3 linked regions of the Lytechinus pictus genome follow. The protein of the gene in region 1 interacts with the protein of each later gene in a pairwise test. Links are inferred from orthologs where the notes say so. Each region holds a gene or a part of one and is shown in the gene's direction. Other genes may lie near its edges.

Region 1 (7,836 bases):
GAGGTATTCATTAACTGTAATACCTAAAAATTGAATATTTTCAACACATGATATATCATGACCAATAGTAAGATTTGCGAGGTCACTTGGAACCCTCCTCTTCCTTGTTCTGAAAATAGTAAATTTAGTTTTATCAAAATTCAAAGAAAGTTTATTACAACAGAACCAATCATACAATTTGTTAACTTCTTTATTGGTAATAGATATTAAATCATAAATATTCTTGTGAGAATTTATAATACAAGTGTCATCAGCAAATAATGAGTAATGGAATAATTTTGAAGAATTTGTAATATCATTTATGTATACGAGGAACAGGAGGGGCCCGAGAATAGAGCCTTGCGGAATTCCATATTTAATAAGTTTACGCTGTGATTGGACACCATTGACCATGACAAACTGATATCTGTTATGCAAATAATGTTTGAACCAATCTAACGCTAACCCTCTGACACCATAAGCATTCAGTTTACGTAAGAGTATGTCATGGTCAATGGTGTCAAAAGCTTTTGACAGATCCATGAATAAACCAAGACAATAATTGCCATCATCATTTTTTTGTGATATAAAATTTGCAATGTTTAATGCACCCATGGAAGTTGAAAAATTTTCACGAAATCCAAATTTCTCTGGTATGAGGATATCATTTGCTTGAAGGTGGGAATATAATCTTTTGTGAATAATCTTTTCTAACATTTTCGAAAAAAATGGTAATAGTGATATGGGTCTATAATTATCCAAACAGGTATTATTTTGAATATTTTTAATTTGTCAGGAACAATCCCTTGTGATAAGGATTTATTAAATATTGCACAAAGTTGTTCAACAAATAAATGAATTGAGTCCTTAAGAACTCTGGGGGTCAAGTCATCAAACCCACTAGCTTTTGATGATTTCATAGAAGAGAAATTTTTAGAATTTCATGAATAGATGTAGGTTTTAGGAATAATGAAAAGTAGCTCTTATCAACAGGCAAGAAGTCATGAAATATGTGAGAAGAGGTAGGTATATTATGTGAAATTCTTTCAGCAATATTGACAAAGTAATGGTTAAAGGAATCTGCGATCACACGAGGTGAGGACATATGAACATTATCATTATACATTTTAAGTGGTATATTTTGTCGCCTCTTCCCCAATAACCCATTGATATTATTCCAAGTTTTTTTTTCATGTCACCTTTGATCTTATAAAACTTGTTATGAAAATATCTTTTTTTAGACGATCTGATAATAGTAGTAAGTATATTTTTGTATGTGACATATTTTTTCTTACTAACAGATTTCTTCAAATATTTATGATATAATTTCTGTTTGACGTTAATTGATTTAAGCAGTGGCGTAACTACGGGGGGGGCATGGGGGCACGTGCCCCCCAATCGGCTGACAAAAAAAAAAAAAAAAAACGGGGAAAAGGAGAAAAAGAGGGAGAAAGGAAGAAAACGTTGTGGGAAAGAATACATTATTGTTCATTATAATGTTATATTATATCATAATATCATTATGTCATAATATCATAATTATGTTTTGTTATATTACATAAGAAACATTTTTTTCATAAATTTATGAAACATAATTTGCTCAGGGTCTATGTCTTCATTGTTCCTGGTGCTCGCATTGTCTGTTTACCGAAATCCTGTAATCTTAATATAAGATATTTCCTGTCCGTGCTTACGTTCGCAGTAGTGGATTGGTGAAATATGTCTGCTCTCCATGAATTCCTAGAATCGGTCCTTAAAAAATTTTCAGCTCGTGCTACGCGCTCGCATCATTATTTGGTTAGTGAACTACGTATGGTCTTCGTGAATTCTTACAAACAAGCCTTAAAATGCCCCTCTTCAGGTTTGAATTTCCTAAATTATCAGCTCGCGCTCCGCGCTCGCAAGATGTGATTAGTGAGATGGGTATGTTAATCAAGATTCCAAGTGCTTTATGCGCATGTTTAGATGTAATTTTAACAAAATCAGCAAGCGCTTATTGGCACTCGCATCAGATGACTATGGTGAGATGTGTATACTCTTAATGGATTCCTAAAATATATAGTCCTTAAAATCTTCCTGTTTGGGGTCAATAATTACAAAAATTTCAGCTCGCGCTTCGCGTTCGCATTATTTAGTGAGACAGGTACGTATCATGATTTGATTACAAAAGATTGATGATAATGTCCCTTTTTAGGTCTGAATATCAAAAATTTTAAGCTCGCGCTTCGCGCTCGCATTATTTGACAAATGAGAGACATATCCATTTAATGGCACTGTCCTTAAAATGTCTCAGGTCAGTATACCTGGCAACTGGGCGCGCTTCGCGCGCTCACTTAGTGACTCAAAATTTTTGCTGGTGCCCCCCCCCCCAATGCCATGACCCACGGTACGCCACTGGATTTAAGTATACCAGGTGTGACCCATGGTCTTTTACCCTTCAACTTATAGTTGTGCCTCTGAACAACAGGAAAACAATCATTATACAACTTGGAAAATAAATGTATAAATAAATCATACGATTTGTTTGCATCAGTATTGCTATTAACAGGAGTCCAATCAACATTCAATAGTTTGTGTTTAAATTCTAAGAGTCGCTCATGTGTAATAAGCCGACCACTGGTTGTGGTGTTGCCATCAACACATTCAATAATCTGGCAGACAACGATGACATAAGGAAAAAATAACTGGTTATGGAGAGTTGTTGGACAACCAGGCGCGGATCCGGGAGATTAATTGCTTACCCCCCCCCCCCCCCTCCCTCAGCAAAAGGGGAAAAAGAAAGAGAGAAGGAAATAAAGGGAAGAGAAAGAGGAGTATAAAGGGAAAATGAAGAGGGAAGAAAGAGGCTTTAGCTGATCCGAAAAAGCCCACAGACCCATTGAAAAGGTAGTGAGGGGGCGGCCCGGCGGGAGGGGGGTGAAGGAATTATATGTAACAGAAACAACCGAAAGAGAGAGAAATGAAAGGAAAGTAATATCAGTTGTGATTATTAAAAACAAAATCGTGAAGCCATAGGTTGGAATGTTAATGAACAGATGATGATGACACAATGTTGGAAGCTTGTTTCGCTGGAGATACGTTGAAGCACCCAAGACTGGGATATGTAAGGTTGGAAAGATGTTGGACATTGAGATGATGGTAACAACGTTGGAATCTTTAATTGTGCCAAACCCAACTTGTAAACATGATTTTCCAGCTCTTAATTGCTGTCTTTTCATCTTTGATTGTTAACATGTTTGATTATCAATAAAGATAATTTTTTTAATTGAATTGAATCCTTTTTGTTGCTTAATTGGTTGTTTAAAAAGGAATAAAGTACAATGTAAATTTGGTCTCGTTGGTAATATGACGTTGCACCAACGTAATGCCAAAACTGGACCGAAGTTGAGCAAATGTTGACATATTCTTTGTCTTTCATTAGGCATTCATGAATATTCATTATCTAGTCACCAAAATTTTGTAACAATTAAACCGCAAATAACGTAATACGCAATTATTCCTCCCTCATAAGTTTCACAAAAGTATGTAGCTTTGTCGCCATATCATTTTCATAAAATAGATAATTCATAGACGAAATGTTCAAGGTTAAATAAAGAAACCTGTTATTAACTGCAATTTTCTAAGTATCGCAAAGTCGTCATATATAAATAGGAATGACTGGCAGGATAGGTGTAGGATATGTTAGGATTAGGATATAGGATTGTAGAATAGGATAAGCAATTAGGGAATAAGAGTGTAAAAGTGGCCCTCACTTTGAAACTAATTAATGTTTTTATGATTGCCATACGTAGGGATTACGTTGGCCCAGCGTCAATAACTGATGTTAGGCCAATGTTGGAATTTTACGCAGATCCAACATTAAATTTGATGTTCATAATTGTTTTATTGTTTTAAAATTGACCGTTGGCGGGGTGGACATTTTAACATTGATTAGCCTAACGTCAATATATGATGTTGGGTCAATGTTGTAATCATACACAAGCACAACATTATTGTCTGATATTGGCCCAATTAACGTTTTAATTGATGTTGGCTCGATGGACACTTTTTTTTACACGGCTCTAACAATTTGATGTTGGTTCAATGTTTCAAATTGACCGTTGGCGGATCAGCCATTTTAACATTAGCACAACGTCAATAAATGATGTTGGGACAATTTTGGAGGCATTTTATAGATAGACCTAACATTGTTATCTGATGTTGGTTCAATGTCCTCAATCGGATGTTGGCTCGGCAAATACTTTAACATTAGTCCAACGTCAATAAATGATGTTAGGCCAATATTAGAATTTTACAAAGGTCCAACATTACAATTTTATGCTGGTTCAATGTTTTAAAATTGACCGTTGGCAGGTCGGATATTTTAATATCAGTCCAACGTCAATAAATTGGGCCAATGCATCGCTCGACATTTGCCCGACCTTAATATAGCACAACCATGGCGTAATTTCCTTCAGCAAGAAACTGATCCACAATGTGCTGCACTCAACCCAGGTGAGGTAAATGGGTACCGGTAGGAAGTTATTCCTCAAGAAGCTGTGAGCGCTATGAACGCCTAGCTTAGCCGGGTAATATAGGAGCGCCTTGAGCACCTAAAAAGGTGGATATGTGCGCAGTATAAATACCCTATATTACAACGTTGGCCCAATGTAAGTTTGCTAGCTGGGATCTGGGGTTGGGATAATCTCATGGTGAAAATATCTTTTTGCACCAAATGCCCATTTTGACATATAAGTGCCTTTTCTGGCTTTGCCCGACCCCCTCCCCCTAACGAAAGTATGTTCCGCCGCCCCTGTTATGACAGCAAAAACTTTCACTGAATTACGGGGGCGGGGATTCAGGATGGGGTGACTGCGCTCTGTGTATTTCCTTTTTTTTTGCTTCGTCAGAAACACCATTAACAATTTACACCAATTACAATTGACACAAAGAGCAGGAGCGAGAAAAGTCGTTATTTATTGATTAATTGGAGGTTTTTCGCTATAAAAATGGCAGGAAACTTTTGGCAAAGTTCTCATTGGTAAGTGTATTCTTTTAAAGATTAATCTGTTGACTAAGGAGCGTTTCGTGTATTATTTTGTGAGCAAATATGCGTCGGTATTTTGCCGCACAGTACCGGTACTACTGGCTGTGCCTGTGCCTGGCTCAGTCAATAATGCACTTCCCCTGGGCTGGCCTCGGCACCCGTACCCGGTACTCCCTACTAGCCTGGAGGCGTATGGGGAGTAAAAATCATGATTCATGATTCATTCATTCTCTTTTTCCTCCACAAAATTGATGTATTCTGTACTGACATGGTTCAAACCTCCTAAACCAGAATGACAGCGTATATGGAACATATATCTGTTTACCTTGGACCCTAGGAATCTCCAAGAGTCCAAATAGGCACTTCAGTCGGGTGGGCGATCGCGCGGACACAGCGCTAGACGTAGATTTTTGCATTGCAGTGAATGGCGAGCGCCTATCTAACACACACAGTTCGCTCCGCTCGGCACTTTGGCCGAGCGCTGGAGTTGCATTCGGCATTGCTCGAAAAGACAGAGTCAGTTTCTTCCTTTATTCCGCTGATTTTGATTGGTCAAAAATTCCCGCGGTTGCTTCGTACATCTTCAGTAAACATCGGAAATATACAAGACAGAGTTTCCCTTACCTTCATGCGAGGGAAGGACCTAATATTCAGGTATTTATTTTTCTTTGCTTGAAATCACCTTCTTGTAATCATCGGATCCCTTGTAAACTCGGTCAGTAATAAAATTGTATATTTGAGAACATTTTGTGAAATTCTAATCAAATTTGGTCCGTAGAGAGTTTGCGAATATGAGCTTCAGTTTTGAGTGTCATGGGGTGTTTGTGAATCTGACTCGGCCGATCGAGCAGGGTTGTTTTGAGCGTGTGAGTGACGTCATCCCCACTGCGTTGGGCCTGAGATTAGTCTTGGTATTCAGACACAGTATGTTTCAGCCGTTGTATATTTTTTTTAATTACGATTTGAGCTCTGTTAATTATGAAAATCAAATTGTTATTTTGAAAATAATTTTGTAGAATTCGTGTGAAATAAGTTTTAAGAGCAAAGCTGCAAGTAAACTTCAAGAATTTTGTTTGATAAGTGATTTTTTTGTTGGAATGCGTCTGAATGTCTAGAATATGGTATTGTTAATGAAAGTCGTATTTTTGAATGGCACAGAAAGCTCCTTGCATGAATTTAATTTAGAAATCGGTTTACATACATGAGATGTGTTTTATGAATTTGATATCTGATTTATGGACCTTTGTTCTGGTGTTAATTATTAATTTGAAGATATTATGAAAAAGTAAGAGAAGACAATAATGAGGCAATTAACAGTGATGATACATTAATAATATGAGACAATAAACATTGCGACAATTATAATAATCATTATGATTATAATGATAACAATTATAATTATAATGATAATAATTATAATTGTAATAATTATTGAGACATCAATTCTAGTATTTATTGACAATAATAAGTATTACAATAATCATTATTATAATAAAATAATTGTTATGAAAACAATTATAATGATGTAATTTGAATTGTAATAATTACTGAGACAATAATATTAATGAGATATCAATAATAATCATAATAATAATACTTATAATTAAAATAAATACAATTGTAGAAATAATTATAATTATAGTAATTATAATTATAGGCCTTATAATTAATGAGACAATAATAACTATTATTACAATAATAATAATTATAACATAATTATAATGATAACAATTATAATGAAAGTAATTATGATTGTAATAATTACTGAGACAGTAATATTGAAAGGTCATCAATAATTATTATTATAAAAATTATTATGATAATAAACATAATCATAATTATAATTAAAGGCCTTATAATTATTGGGTCAATAATAACTGTTATTACAATAATAATAATTATCATAAAATGATTATAATGATAATTATAATGAAAATAATTGTACTTGTAATAATTACTGAGACAGTAATATTGATAAGTCATCAATAATTATTATTATTATAAAAATTATTATAATTATAAAAATAATCATAATTATAATTATAGGCCTTATAATTATTGAGACAATAATAATTATTATTTCAATAATAATTATTATTATTGAATAATTATAACTATAATTACTATAATGATAGTAATTATAATTGTAATAATTATTTAGAAAATAATATTAATGAAACAAAAATAATTATCATAATAATAATAATTATTATAATTATAATACTAATTGGGACAATAATGAAACAATGATGAGACTATAATGATATCAACAATTTTATTGAGACCATAATAACAAGAAAATAATGAGATAATAGACAATTAAAATCAATCTGTTTTTATTTTTTTCTAGAAATCCTAAGATTATTATTTTAATTCTCTTTCTTTGATTACAAATTATATTCATTGAAAACTTAATTTCTAATGTTCAAGCAAAGAAAATCAATATCAAGTCATGTTTACCCTGTGCACAAACCTACCACAGGGCAATTACCCCCGAAATAGGGTTAGGTTAGGTGTAGATTTTTCGATAGGGGTACAGTGTAGTTGTCCGGGGGGGGGGGTAATTGTCCAGGGTGGGTGGGGGGATGGGGGAGGGGAATTGTCCGAGGGTTGGGGGGTGGGGGATTATCATCCAGGGGTAGTTGCTGGAACCAAAGAAATCATATGCCAGGGCTCCACACTAACCAATTATTTCTACTGGTCCAACCTATTCATGTCGGACCAGTAGATACCCAGTTTTTCAAATTTTTACTGGTCCGAACCTAAAATCTACTGGTCCCAAAAAATAAAGAAAACATTAAAAAAAGGCACAAGTTTATTTTTCTAGCCTT
Region 2 (7,534 bases), on another chromosome or scaffold:
CTCGGTAGCTTCTACAGACCACCCGGTTCTAAGGATGAGGTGATTGACGAATTACAAGGTAGCATCAGTACTATCTTTCGAAAGCACAGGAAACTGCCTGCTTTAGTCCTAGCGGGAGATTTTAATCTACCGGATATTGACTGGTGTAAAGTTGTAACATCGAATCCTAGAACTCATGCAATTCATTCTCACTTCCTCAACTTTGTGAATGGATGTAGTTTAACCCAGATGGGTAGGGAGCCTACAAGACCGGCCTCTGGAAATATCTTAGATCTTATACTCACAACTACACCTGATGCTGTGAATAATACCCAAACAAAACCTGGGATCAGTGACCATGACATCACCCTGTTTGACATCAATATGCGACCCAAACTCCAAAGAAAACCAGTGCGGAGAATATACCAGTATGACAAAGCTGACAAACAAGACATTAAGGAGCGCTGCTCTCAGATGTCATATGACTACTTTGAAAGATCTCCTGAAGACATCTCTGTAGAAGATAATTGGATATTCTTCAAGACTTCTCTTTTGTCAATCATGTCTCACATTCCCCACAGGAACTCGAGGCCCAAGACAAGCCACCCGTACATCACCTCGAAGATAATACGGGAAATGAATAAGAGGGACAGGCTATACAAGAAGGCAAGACGTTCAAGGTCACATTCAGATTGGGAAACATACAAAACAAAGAGAAATTCTGTTCAAAGAGCAAAAGAATCAGCTCACAGTGAATACCTTCAAAATGTTGTTGGAGGAAGTCTTATGACTGACGCAAAGAAATTCTGGAGGTACGTCAAAGCTCAGCGGAGAGAGTCGGTAGGAATCCCAACTTTAAAAGTGGGAAATGTTTCCTATGTATCCAATGAGGAGAAAGCTAATGCTCTAAATGCTCAGTTCTCTTCAGTTTTTACACATGATAATACTTCATCGGTACTACCAGACAAGGGTCCCTCACCGTACACACCAATTGAAGATCTCTTCATCAGCTTACGAGGAGTGAATAAACAACTGAAAGAACTTAACACCAACAAAGCCAGTGGTCCAGATGAAATACCTGCTAGAATGTTAAGAGACTATGCAGATGAGATTAGCCCAGTCCTTACTCATCTCTTCCAACAATCCTATGATGAGGGAATTCTTCCAAGTGATTGGCTAAGAGCTCAAGTGGCCAGCATCTACAAGTCTGGCGACAAGAGTAACCCAGCCAATTATAGACCGGTGTCACTCACATGCATCTGCTGCAAGATCCTAGAGCACATTGTATTGAGCCACATGTCAAAATACTTGGAAAAGAATAACATCATCAACCCAAACCAACATGGATTTAGGAAGGGACTGTCATGCGAAACGCAACTTGTTGAGGCCATCAATGACTGGGCATACAACATCGACCAGCAATGTCAGACAGACGCCTTCTTTCTTGACTTTAGTAAGGCCTTTGATAAGGTATCACACAGGAAGCTGCTCTACAAATTGGAGTATTATGGCATTACTGGTCAAATGCATGGATGGATCCAAGCTTTTCTATCAGGCAGATCTCAGTCAGTTCATGTTGATGGAACATCCTCACCACTAGCCAGTGTACTCTCAGGCGTGCCGCAAGGCTCAGTACTCGGGCCTGTGTTATTCCTGCTGTACATCAATGACATCTGTGAATGCATCTCATCACCAATCAGACTCTTTGCTGATGACTGTGTGCTGTATCGCAAGGTCAAGACAAGAGCTGACCACGCAATTCTCCAGCGAGATCTTTCAACATTATCAGATTGGGCAAAACTGTGGGATATGTCCTTCAATGTCAAGAAGTGTGCCCACATGTGTATCTCATTGAAACGACAACCCTTGGCTTGCAACTTTACCATCAGTGACCAACCTGTTCCAACGGCAACCTCCTGTAAATACCTCGGTGTGACCATCACAGACAACCTGAGTTGGAACTCCCATGCACAGAAGATATCCTCCAAAGCTGCTCGTACTCTTGGAATCATACGTCGAGCATTGGGTAAATGTGACCTGAAAGTGAGAGACATTGCGTACAAGCAACTTGTCAGACCTCAACTTGAGTATGCTTCATGTGCATGGAATCCTCACATACAGAAAGATGTAAACATTGTTGAGAACATTCAGCGTCAGGGTGCTCGGTTTGTCCTTCATGACTACAGCAGAGAATCCAGTGTAACATCGATGTTGTCAACTCTTCACTGGGATACTCTCCAACACAGACGCCTTCTTAGCCAATGTGAGATGTTCTACAAAATTCATCACAATTATGTTTACATCAACATGCCACATCAGATTAAGTTAAGCAGCAGTTCTCGTCCACAACGTTCACAACACACTGGACATCAGCTCAAGTACACCCAGCCTTTTTGTAGAGTGAACTGCTACATGTACAGTATGTTCCCAAGAACCATCCGTATTTGGAATACTCTCCCAAACGCTGCTGTAACTTCGACCTCTATAGCTGGCTTCCGGGGAGCAACATTGCCTATCATTCAGCAAATGTTGCCTCCCCCTCCCCTTAAGATGCTGTAAGAGGGACACACACGCACCACCCGCACACTGCACCTAGCACACTGTATATAGTGCACCAAGAATACCACCACAGGATCACCACATCACCTGAAGCACTGGCAGCACCTGACACAGCACAACCCTCTCCAGGACAGCGTGTACGCTTTTGGGAGAGTACTTCTTCAAGCTGTGTGTGTGGAATTTCGGACCTTTCGGACACTCAAATGCACGCGACTAACCATTATGTTATGTAAATTTATAAGAATATAGCTAAGAAGTGACTATTAGTGACTTTCAAAGAAACCAAAAATCATCTTCGAGAGGCCGATCGGTGAAAATATGGCTGAAAAAAAAATTCCGCCCCCGCCCCCTATTGGCGAAGGCTGGATCCGCCCCTGCCCTCTAAAAAAAGCAAAAGCAAAACGCGTACATAACAAAACACACACACAAAAACAATTTTTTAGCACCCGATTTCCTTTAATTCTGACCCCAATCTACACCCCCCCCCCCCTCCCCTATTGGCAAATGCTGGATCCGCCCCTGAACATAGGACTTTTGGAGGGCGGGATCGGATGGTATTCTCGGTCGTGAAGCGTCGTCGTGAAGGTTGTATAGATAGATTTTACCATTCGTAATAGGTCCATGATTTTACCAGTCAAATTATCAGTGTCGTAATGTGCCAAATTTGAACTTTTGAGAGGGCAGGTTGTGGAAAAGGCCTGATATGGCAGTCGTTGTGAATACTGTTTTGGTTTTTAGGAAATTGGCAAAGCCGATCTCCTAATATTTATATAAAAGTTAGGTCCTACCTTAATTCTTGCTCGCCAGAAGATAGAATGGGATCCAGCCGCTCAGAATCTCAGATAAATTGCACAAATCCGTGAATAGAAATATATACACTTCACAATTTCAAATAGATTAGAAAAAAGGGATAGATGTCACAAAATGTCTCGCGAAGTAATGAGCTCATTAAATATGCAGAGAATATAGACTTCGAATGAGTGGAAGTGACGGTAAGGAATAAGATTGGAAAATGCAGAGAAATAATTAAGTATAAGTTGATCCTCCACAAGATTTGATTCAATCCTCACTAGCAGCTGGATGAGATGGTCAGCATGAGTGGACAGGACGAAGGCAGAGAGTAGAGTGATGATGTGATGGAGAAAACAAGTTGTTTTTACCAACATCAGAAAAGGTGAGACAAAGAAATAAGCGCCAAAAAGGGGCAAAACACAGTTGAGAAGAACAAAGAGGAGAGAAGCAGACTGTGAGAAAAGCAAACATGCAAGCATCTTGTAGTGATGTTGTATACCTGCAAGTTCATTGCAATAAACAAGGAACAATGAAAGGATGTTTGCTCCAAGTCTAGGAACAAAAGAAAGGTTGTTTCTCAATATAAGAATGTGTTTGCCAAGTAGATTTGGACAGAAAATGAGTTGGCTTGCTCTGTGAATGTACAGTATTGTAGTACATACACATGGCGTGAACAAGTGAGAATATATGAAATTGGAAATAAAAGAAAGAATTTATATACATATACAGAATGTTGAAATATAAATGAAAATATATACAAGGAAAGAATATATAGATGTAGATATATAAAAAGATATAGTCAAGTCACTACAGGTTTATGTTTTGCTTTAGTTTTTATTTTAGCTATTGTTTTGCTTTTGTTTTGTTTCTGTTATTGTTTTTGTTTATTGCATGTTGACATATTCTCCTTATCCATCCAAGTCATATGACTAGAGTCTAGAAAGGTATAATCTCCCTGTTTTTATTCGACCATTGCTGCTCTAAATATTGATGAACTTTCATGTTTTTGGTAATTTTGTAAAAAAGAAGAATAATTTTTTTCATATTATGTCGTATTAAAAAAAATCGAAACATAATTATAGGTGAAACTTTTTATCTGAAATATATGGTGCGTGCGAGATTCGATGCTCATAACTTTTCTGCAAATAATCGGCCTACAAAAAAAAATTAACGGATTTCTTGCGCGCGCGCGCGCTCAATTATCATTATCAAAATTGTAATTCAGACCCATAGAGATGTATACTAGTATACATCTCTATGTTCAGACCCCAATCACAGCCAAAACCGCGGTCTTGTATAAACAACCGTGGATGAATGCTGTTTTCTGGTGCCAAGAGATCTGGAAATGCAAAAATATGAGAGGCTTGAAAAAATTGGAGAAGGTAAGCGTTTAAGTGACTGAAATTTAGTGAAAAATACGTTTTAATTTGCTAGGGATAGGCTATTTCTTATGTAGTCCCGTATGCGAAGTTTGGCGTATTGTGTGTGAGACCTACTCATCTAGTCTTGAGCCTTGAGAGTTGAGGACTCCATGATGATGTCTTTTTTTAAATACTTTGACATATACTTCTTCATCATTGGAGTCTTGAACCGCCCTCATATAGGCCTATGTATAAGAGACACATGTAAACAAAGATGGATTCCCCAAGGAAATCCATCTTTTAATATAAAAATCACATAAATTGTTGTGATTTTAATTTTTATATATCAAGACATTAGTAACTAACATGTCTAACGTTACACCGGCTGCACTCACACTGTGACTACCTTATTGCGAGGTTAGTATGGTGAGACTACCACATATCAACCACCTCTTTTGAAACCGACCACCTTGCACGCGTTAAAATTATTGCGTATTACAAACGATATGCGCGGGAGAGTAGGCGCAGTGTCCATAGAAACGGTAAGAATCGATTTTACGAGAAAAAAAGAAGCAACAAAAAGTAAAAATTTAGGAGAATTAATCAAAATTGTATTGACCAGACCCAAACCCCGCTGAAAAACCAAGAAATCCGATAGGAAACAGCTTTAGAAGTTAGAACAAATATCCGTCGTCAATCGTCGAATCATGTGCCGGAGCTCGCAGTGGAAGTAGTGAGACGATAATTTAGCATGTTGACATCATAGAACTGATTTTGAAGAGTAAAAATATTTCGCCACCGCGACAAGAATCGGCCGTAAACTTAGCGTGACGCGGTTGGTCGGTTTCAAAAGATGGGTGCAAATGAGCAAATGTAAAAGGGCTATTCCACGGTTACTCACGTTACATTTGGAGACACCTTGACTCATACTTGGAGCTGTAGCTCCATTATTATTGATAGGAACTAAACATCTCCTTATCACAGCAAAGTACACAGTCTGACTATCCTTTGTATAAAAAAAAAACTTGGGAAATTTTATTATGCTCCTGGCAAATCTTTGAAATGTGTCGGTTACTCACGTTACATGATTTGGACATGCATATAATGAAAAGTCGACTTAAGTGAAAAGTGTCCTCATACAAGGCTTTTATGAAAGTTGATTATATCAATTTCAAAGAAGTATATTAGGGAGACAAACTTTGTATATAATTCAAAAAATAAAGAACACAAGGTTTTTACTAGGGGTGCAGATAAAGTGGTTACTCACGTTACGGTTACTCACGTTACATTTTGTCCATGTATGGTTAACAACAAAAATGTCACTAAAAATTCAATAATGTGTGTAAAATTCATTGCTAGGAACACCAAAAAGAGTTTTTATACCAAAAATTGGAACAATTGGAGCTTTATTTAGGGAGTAAGAGGGAAAAGTATGATTTTGCTTACTTATTTTGCATAAATTAGCATAATCACATTGTGAATACTTCTACTAGTATTCAATTTTTTGTGTGATTGTACATGTATGACCACTGATATTTTTATGACAAAAAAGAGTCGCATCAAAGAGGTGTACCCTCATTTTGCGTTTAATTAATCAAAAATAACTTCACAACTCACCATGAGACTTAAAACTTGACATCCCACAGAAAATATTACCTAACTGCATAATTTTTACTGGTTACTCACATTACATGATGGTTACTCACGTTACACAGTTACTCACGTTACAGTTTTTCTTCATCATTTTTATAAAAAATTGTATTTTTTAATGATTTTGATAGTCATCACCGTGTTAAAGATTGTTTGAAGGAAGAGAATTTAAAATCCCACCAGTTAACTGCGAAGAATTTTTCGCTCAGAAAACAAAGTCATTTTTTTTGGTTACTCACGTTACATCACCTGAGCAGGTTTCAATATTTTTTTTTGAATGAGTACTACAAATTTACTTGAAAAGTTGTTGTGTATTTTAAGTAATTTGACTCTTCTAAACTTCAAAAATATATAAAGTGGTATGATGTTTCAATAACAAAATGGTAATAAGGCATATTTCATTTTTCACTATTTTTCTTGTATTTTGGTACAGAATGGAAGATACAACTTTTGACCATTTTTTTCCAAAGTATACATATGAAAATAAACTTTTTATTTTTTGTTCCTGAAACTATCATGTATGAAGGACTTAAAGTATTTAAAAATTCAAGAAAATATTGAATTTGAATTTTTAAGCTCATGTCCACCAACCTATGGAATTGCCCAAAATCGTCGTATTCGTTGTTCGTCGATATATACGCGGATTGAATCGGAGTAGCCGAGCGAAACACGGGAATCTGATCTGCTCAATTTTCTGCACAAATGAGACGAAAACTGGGTAAAATTGATGAATATTTTTGCAGATACGATGCTTAGAAGATTAGGTGGTCGATAGTGGCTGGATCTGGATGTGTACGATGGAGGGCCCTCCTCACTCACACTAATACGAGGTTAGTATGCTATACTAACCTCGTACAAGGGACCGTGTTTGACCTAGCCAGGCGGCTTCTAGAGAGTAAAAATCATTTACTAACGTAAGGTTACTCTCATACGAAGCCAGGCCTTCTATCTCATAGACCCACACAAAGGAAGCCAAAACCTGAAACTTTCACCCCCGAGATTTCTAATTTCCTTCTAAAAGATCTAGCTCTAAATCATGTACATGGGATAAAACTTAATTTCCGACATTTCTACGCTCTCGATGTTATTTTTAAAACAAGAATTCATCCAAAAAATGAAAAAATATTGTGAAAAGACGGAAGAGACTTGCCCGATGTTTACGCCGCCATCTTGTTTCTTATTGTACTTCCCCA
Region 3 (7,765 bases), on another chromosome or scaffold:
GGAAAAAATCGAGATTTAGACCTAAAATCGGGACACTCTATTCAGTCATGAAAAGACTGAGTAATAGGGGATCTTCCTACATTAATAATGCGAGCACAAAGCGCGAGCAGAAAATTTTTGATATCGTGATCTGAAACTGGATGATTTAAATAGAGAACAAGTTGAGTTTCTGAATAAACATCCGCGCACGTGTTTCATATTTAGACCTAGAATCTAGGCATTCTAAATAATATTTTATCTTTGATATTATTTTATCTTATCTTTGATATTCCGATCTGAAAAAAGTCAATTTCAGCTCTATATTTCAAGCACTTTGTAGGAAAATTGTGAGGTGGATATGAATCGTACTTAATAAAGAGCTGATATTTTTCATCATTATTACATTGAGTTTTGACATAGGACCGGGACATCCTTAGGACATGTCATCATATAAAAATGATGACTATCTTCCTATTCCTCTTGCTAAGTGCGAGATGAAACAAAAGGGACAATTTGATTATTAAATTAATATCTTATTCACTAATGCCTGATGATCTGAGAGCGCGAAATCTGATGATAATGTGGCCTGAAGACTGGACATTCGAGCATTGTTGTAATTATAAAAAGGATGCATCCGTCAATATATTTTTAACCATTAAATACGAGCGCAAATTGCGAGCCAAAATGTTTGATAAACTGTCATGAAAAGGGGATTTTAAGTAGTTTGTTGTATAATCAATATTGAGACATACATAACTCGCCAATCAAAATGCGAGTGTGCAGCGCTAGCTGATAAATTTTGACAATCAGACCTGAAAAGGGATATTTTGAAAACTTAATGGAATACACGACAAGAATAGGTACCTGATAAATCAAAATTTGCGAGCGCGCAGCGCGAGCAGAAAATGTTAATATTCAGACCATAAAAGTGACATTTTTACAGAGCACTTAAAAAAAAATTAATTTGTAAATCACACAAAATAACGAAAGTTCGATTTCCGTGGTGTAATATGTTTTGTATATTAACTTCCAAACTTGATATTTAAACTCACCTAACAGGCAATGCGAGTGCGAAGCGCGAGCGAAAATTTTATATAGTGACATGAAAGATTCTTTTTATTTTCCAAGTCTTCCCCTCATTTTATTTTATTCACTCGTCTTCCTCCTCTTCTTTTTTCTCATCTCTTTTCCCTCCTTTTTTCTTATTTGTTTTCTTTCTTTCCCCTTTTTCTCCTGTTTTTGCTCCGCCAATAGGGGGGGGGGCGCCCCCCCCGGATCCGCCTATGAGATGACGCATCCTATTCATAATTACAAAAGAGCTAAAAATGTCCAGTTTTCAGGCCTTGACATATAACAACAAATTTCGCGCTCACATTAGATAAATGAAAAATATAATAACATTAAAGAATTCCTATATAATTAAAGTGTCCCTTTTTCAGAAAAGAATATCGACAAGTTTCATCTCGCACTTAAGAAGAGAAACAGGAAGATGGTCATCATTTTCATATGATGACGAATGTTCGGTCCTATGTCAAAATGATAATGAAAATATCAGCTCGCGCTCGCAACATTTATTGAGTGCAATCCATATCCATATCACAAGTTTCCTACACAGTGCTTGAAATAGCGCTTAACTTGCGCTTCACGATCGCATTATTGATTTTCATAATAAAGATGTATTTAGAATGCCCAGATTCTTGGTCTAAATCTATAATACGCACAAGCGTGTTTATTGAGACATGCAAGTTGTTCTTTATTTAAAACGTGCTTAAATTATCCAGTTTCAGATCAGGATATAAAAAATGGCATGAGCTTCGCGCTCGCATTATGTATGTAGGAAAATACCCAATTGCCCAGTTTTCATGATTTACAAAGCATCACTAGCGTACCTACGGGGGGGGGGGGGGGGGCAGAGGGGGCAGTCTGCCCCCCTGACGAGCTACAACCCATGCAAAGGACGTATCCCTGCCCCCCCCCCTGACAAGCGTGAAGACCTTTATTGCCCCCCTGACGAGCTTGAAGACCTTTTTTTTTTTTTTTTTTTTTTGTCCAATTTTTTTCTTGTACAAAATCCTTCATTTGTGATTGAAGACCCTTTTTTTTGCTTGTCAAATTTTTTGGCGGACGGTTTTGCCCCCCCTGTGAAAAATCCCAGGTACGCCACTGCAAAGCATGAATAGAGTGTCCCTTTTTAAGGTCTAAATCTCCCTTTTTTTTCCACTCGCGCTTCGCGCTCGCATCAATTGTTTAGTTCTCTTGAGGACAATTCTGTATCATCGGAGGGGCGATTGCCCCCCCCCGTGCTCAACATAAGTAATGCAGTTCTGTCAAGAAAACATTTTTATATCACGTAAAACATGTAGTATTCATTTCTGTTTTAATGTTTTCTTGGAAACGTAATTGCAATATTCTAAAAATAACGTAAGTGGACTTTTTAGGATAGGGTCCTTTATGGAAATGTTGAACATGAGGAATATTATAGGCCTAATTCAATGCAATTAAAGTTTATTCAATGCAAGGTTGCATAGGAAAGCAAGCATTGATGGCGGCCTCATGAAGAAAGAAATTTGTGGCATAAATTATGAAGAATGATGATCAAGCCTTCGGTGCAATGCAGGTTGCAGATGCAATAAGCCAGTTCGTAGTTCCTTTCTGCGCATGATCAAAAGATTCTACGCATGATCGGAGGAAGGTCATTTGTACTGAATCTAATGAGATAAGCACCAACTTTGATGTCTTGATTATTCATATATTCTTTTGAATTGTGCTTTTCATTGACATCCACAAAAAACAACAATGCGTCCACAAACGACTGGTATTTCACAGTTTGCCAAGTACATCGTGCAACATGCTATGAAGTATGATATGCATTCAAAGTAAGAATGCAACAAATACCTTCATAAAGTGTTCATTGGTGTGCTATTCTAGTCACCTGGTCTATTCAATTTCTTCATCCTGCTATGTAAGGCAAGCTTACGTAATATCTTGCTTTGAAATCTGCCTATCATAATGAAAGAAATGAAAGGTCATTTGACCATAATTGTCTAGAAGTAACTACGAACTGGTCTATCCCACTGGGCAATTTGTTACCGATTACCAATTTTACCGGTTATTACCGGTAATATCACCCGGAAATTTGAGTAACACCAAATATTACCGTTATTACCATTTTATTACCGAAATTATAATTCCTGTTGATACCTGTTACTGTTATCACCCTGATGAAACCTACATTTACCTAGTTACAACAGGGTGATGAGGGGTAATAAGGGTAATGTTGAATGACTTTGATTGGTTATAACATTGCAAACTTTAGTAATAAGAGCAATCTTACAGCAATCCCAGCGAAATTTTCAAAGTCCAAAAAATTACTGTTATCACCCTGATGAAACCAACATTTTACCCAGTTACAAACAGGTTGATAAGGGGTAATGGGTAATGTTGAAACGCTTCCATTCCCAGACAGCAAAGTATCTGGATCACATACGGTTCTTATCTGGGATATCTGGGTCCCATAAGGGCCCACATGGAACCCAGATGAAAACATATACTTGAACCCACATGGTGCCCAGATAGGACTAAGATGGAAACGAGACCTCCAACCCATGCGGAACCCATTAATATTGGGTAAATGGAGTAATATCAGATGGTAATATCAGGAAAATGCTGGGAATATTAGTTACTCATGAATATTCATTACTACAATAAATGGCCAAAATTTTAGCTAATATAGCTGTAATAATTAATGTGTTTATGTTTATGCAATTATTCCACCCAGAACATTTTCAGAAAAATGTGTAGTTTATATATCATATTAGTCATAATCATGACATTAATTTTAGAAAAATGTTTTAGGGTTGAATAATTGTTAACCATAATTTGTCAAGTGTTGTAAACTCGCTCAATATATAGAAGTAAATGACAGGGTTTGGTGGATAGGTGTAGGATAGGATTAGGATTAGGATGTAGGATTTTAGGATAGGATAAGATGATATGGCTTAGAGTATGGAGTTGTAAAAATGTGCTTCAATGACCCTAATGACACTAATTGTTTTTTTAATGAGCCGACATTAATTGGGTAATATTGGGTAAACAGAGTAATATGAGGTGGTGATATCATTAAAATGCTGGAAATAGTAGTTACATCATACTGAGAAATATTGGGTAAATGGAGTAATATTGGGCAGTAATATCATGAAAATAACTGGAAATATCGGTTACATCATACTGGGTAATATTGGGTAAATGGAGTAATATCGGGTCCGGGTAATAACGGGGAAAGATTGGTCTACTATTTCCCCGTTACTACCCACTGGTGTTACCGTGGTAATAACTACGTTATTACCTGTTACAACCCGGGTAATATCGGGTAAAATGCCCAGTGGGATAGACAGCAGTTGAGTAATAGGAATAATAATTAGCAATTTGGTTATGTGAGCGAGTATGCTTATTTGGATTATGAAATGCAGTTCTTTTTAGAGTGGCTTTCAAGATGATGGTTGAACGAGATATTGTATTGTCTGAAAGATTATCGATCTATTTTGTAATCTAAAATTACTGTATTATAAAGTTTTGTAATAAGAAATACAAAGTCATGATCGAAACCCAAACTGTATTTTCCTGCATGGTTTGTATTTTGTTAAAAATTAAATATATGACATGAACTAAAACTGTAATAGAAATATCACGCATTTTGCTTTCTCATCAGCATTAAATTGTTTGTGGTCATTTTTTTGGGGGGAGGGGGTGGGTTTGAGTTAATTAAGTTCCCCCGTATATAACCGCACCTGTACCTGTAGGCTGTGGCAGTACTGATTTAATTTTACCGGGCCAAGACAAAAGGGACTGACATCTCTTCTAACTTTTGAAATATTGCCATCATGCGGTTGAAATTGTGCATGCATGGTTTGCCGATTAGACTCCGCCTACTTCTCACAGTTCACTACCTTTCATTGGATAAATCACAAGGCAGTTGGGGATACGTCATGCGAATGAGCGATGCCCATTGGTTATTTTGAACAGCCGCGGCTTTTACAACATTATCAACATCGATATATCCGCTATATGCTATCCATGCAATTCAGTTTACACGCAATATTTGATGCAGCTACACGTTACGACTCACTCTTTGACTCAACTCGCCGATCAAAGTAACGTTAGAATTTCAAGTTTTCTGACTCTACACGTAACAATAGAGGAGTTTAACTGTAAGTATACTATTCTCTTCTAATATATTAGAAATGCAAGCAAGTTTGAGTACGAAATACGTCAAATTTATTTATTTTTACTGCAAAAGTGCGTGGCAGTTGTGCAGACAGTGTGACTGTGAATGTGATGATGTGTTTAGGAAATAGGATGGGGGGTTGGGGGTCGGGTGTCAGGACACTTTATATTTTTGAAGCCTTCTTTTTTGTCTTTGGATTGCACTAAAAATATGAATTCAGTACTTGTAATCATCTTCTATTTTGTTCTCTATAATATTTCCTAACATTTTGTAATAAAAATTGATGAAACTTCACTTGTAAATTTTTCCAAATGACGTTCTAAATTGAGCGTCCGGACACACCACCTGTCCGGACACACAACAACTGGGTACCGGTTAACCCAGGGAGCCCAGGGGCTTACCGTGTATTTGACCATACTCACGTGACTAGGGTGAATTATGGTCTAAATATTTCTCCACTCATCATACTCATAGTCCAAATAAATTGTGAAAACAGAAGTTATGCACTTACCACGATTACCTGGATGAAGGTCTAACGAGTGGCAGTTTCCTGACATCTGGGCACAGACTGGAACCTCAAAAAACGAAAAGTTTTCTCCTTCTACCCCCGTCTCGATCGCGTAACGTTGGGGAAGTAAGTGTCCCAAAAAATCTCATGAACTTTTAAGAGAAATAGGACCCAACTTTATATGATTTTCTTAGAAAAACCGAGGCTCGAGCCAAATGTAAATTTTATTTAGATGGATAAAAAATGGTGACCCATGATGTAGGTACATGTAGTTGCAAGAAAAATAAATTTGAGAAATGAGGTGTTTGCTTCATAGCATCATTTAGAGCTCATTAATTAAGACCTTTCATTTAATACCTCATTCATTTCAATTATATCAATAGCCCCAGTAACAAGAAAGTTATGGTACATGTAGTTTTAAGTTCGTTCAAATCGCCTCTTCAATTCTTGGACTTGGCAGGCCTGCGAATGTTTAGTGCCTCAAATTGATTTCAATTCTAATGCATCACTGGACTGAAATTTACTCCAAGAACTTGTTCACTGCAACCATCCTGCCTGTGGGGAATCTACAGGTAGGACTCAGGTTAGTATACTAATACTAACCTCGCAATACGTGTGAGTGGGTAGGACTATGGTATGCCAATGCTGTACACAGCACACACTTTAAAAAATCATTAAAATGTCACTTTTGTGACCAAAATTACTAATTTCCATACAGTTGCAATTTATTTTTCATTAGTACCCAGGCAATAATTTTTGTATTTACCAGAGTGCTCAAAAACTTAAATTTTAGGCATATTTTTGTGTACGCCCTCTATTGGTTGAAAGTAATATGGTATTGGTAAGAAAATTTTCATTTTTCAATCTCTATTTTCAATTAAGAAAAAATAATTTAAAGAATCAAATTTACTAAGAGCCAAGTTATATGATGAATAGCTGTAATGGAAACAGACAGTGTAAAAAAATCAAGCATTTGTCCCAAAGAAAAAGAGAAAATAAGCCAAACATTGCCACCCTTTTTTTGCCACACATGGAAATGTAACTGAGAACAAGGTTAGGTATATCATAACCTTGTTCATTGAATGAGTGCAAGAAGCAAGCGTGGCATTCATAACATGGTACAATTAATGGTCAAGTGTCTGCAGACATATAAAAATGTTGACACGACTTCTCAGTATGGTGAGACTACCACATATCGACCACCTCTTTTGAAACCGACCACCTTGCGCGCGTTAAAATTATTGCGTATTACAAACGATACGCGCGGGAGAGTAGGCGCAGTGTCCATAGAAACGGTAAGAATCAATTTTACGAGAAAAAAAAAGAAGCAACAAAAAGTAAAAATTTAGTAGAATTAATCAAAATTGTATTGACCAGACCCAAACCACGCTGAAAAACCAAGAAATCCTATAGGAAACGGCTTTAGAACAAATATCCGTTGTCAATCGTTGAAACATGTGCCGGAGCTCGCAGTGGAAGTAGTGAGACAATCATTTAGCATGTTGACATCATAGAACTGATTTGGAAGAGTAAAACTATTTCGCCACCGCGACAAGAATCGGCTGTAAACTTAGTGTATCGCGGGTGGTCGGTTTCAAAAGACGGGTGCAAATGTAAAATCGTCGTATTCGTTGTTCGTCGATATATACGCGGATTGAATCGGAGTCGCCGAGCGAAACATGGGAATCTGATCTGCTCAATTTTCTGCACAAATGAGACGAAAACTAGGTAAAATTGATGAATATTTTCGCAGATACAATGCTTAGAAGATTAGGTGGTCGATAAGGGGTAGTTCCAACCATATACATTTCAATGAAAATTTTCTTATAATTGAAATTAAAATTGATTTTAATTACCAGTATTGAATTCACTAATTATTCATTTTTCTTAATTTCTCTCATGACCCCCCCCCCCCTTGCAGATAGAGACCCATTTTTATCCTGTTGGACTGTGTGTGATTTCATTCTGAAATAATGGAAGATTTTATCAAGATAGAAAAGTTGGGTGAAGGTGAGTTAGTATATTATCCTTAAGATCATGCAACTTGAAGGGGA

Evidence for each region. The genes of interacting proteins can lie anywhere in the genome.
Region 2: the proteins of cyclin-C-like (region 1) and cyclin-dependent-like kinase 5 interact in binary tests that used the Drosophila melanogaster proteins (3 or more experiments, as listed by UniProt). The link is inferred for Lytechinus pictus from reciprocal best matches to the Drosophila melanogaster genes CycC and Cdk5.
Region 3: the proteins of cyclin-C-like (region 1) and cyclin-dependent kinase 1-like interact in binary tests that used the Drosophila melanogaster proteins (3 or more experiments, as listed by UniProt). The link is inferred for Lytechinus pictus from reciprocal best matches to the Drosophila melanogaster genes CycC and Cdk1.

What each region holds. Positions count from the first base shown.
Region 1 is NC_087260.1:4,723,153-4,730,988, forward strand, and holds the start of cyclin-C-like, read left to right. Parts: upstream 1-4,828; 5' UTR 4,829-4,967; coding exon 4,968-4,999; intron 5,000-7,836. UniProt on the Drosophila melanogaster protein: Component of the Mediator complex, a coactivator involved in regulated gene transcription of nearly all RNA polymerase II-dependent genes.
Region 2 is NC_087257.1:1,754,267-1,761,800, forward strand, and holds the start of cyclin-dependent-like kinase 5, read left to right. Parts: upstream 1-4,527; 5' UTR 4,528-4,675; coding exon 4,676-4,712; intron 4,713-7,534. UniProt on the Drosophila melanogaster protein: Probably involved in the control of the cell cycle. Interacts with D1 and D3-type G1 cyclins. Possible regulator of neuronal differentiation and/or development.
Region 3 is NC_087262.1:20,372,327-20,380,091, reverse strand, and holds the start of cyclin-dependent kinase 1-like, read left to right. Parts: upstream 1-4,758; 5' UTR 4,759-5,186; intron 5,187-7,632; 5' UTR 7,633-7,684; coding exon 7,685-7,721; intron 7,722-7,765. UniProt on the Drosophila melanogaster protein: Plays a key role in the control of the eukaryotic cell cycle. Required for entry into S-phase and mitosis.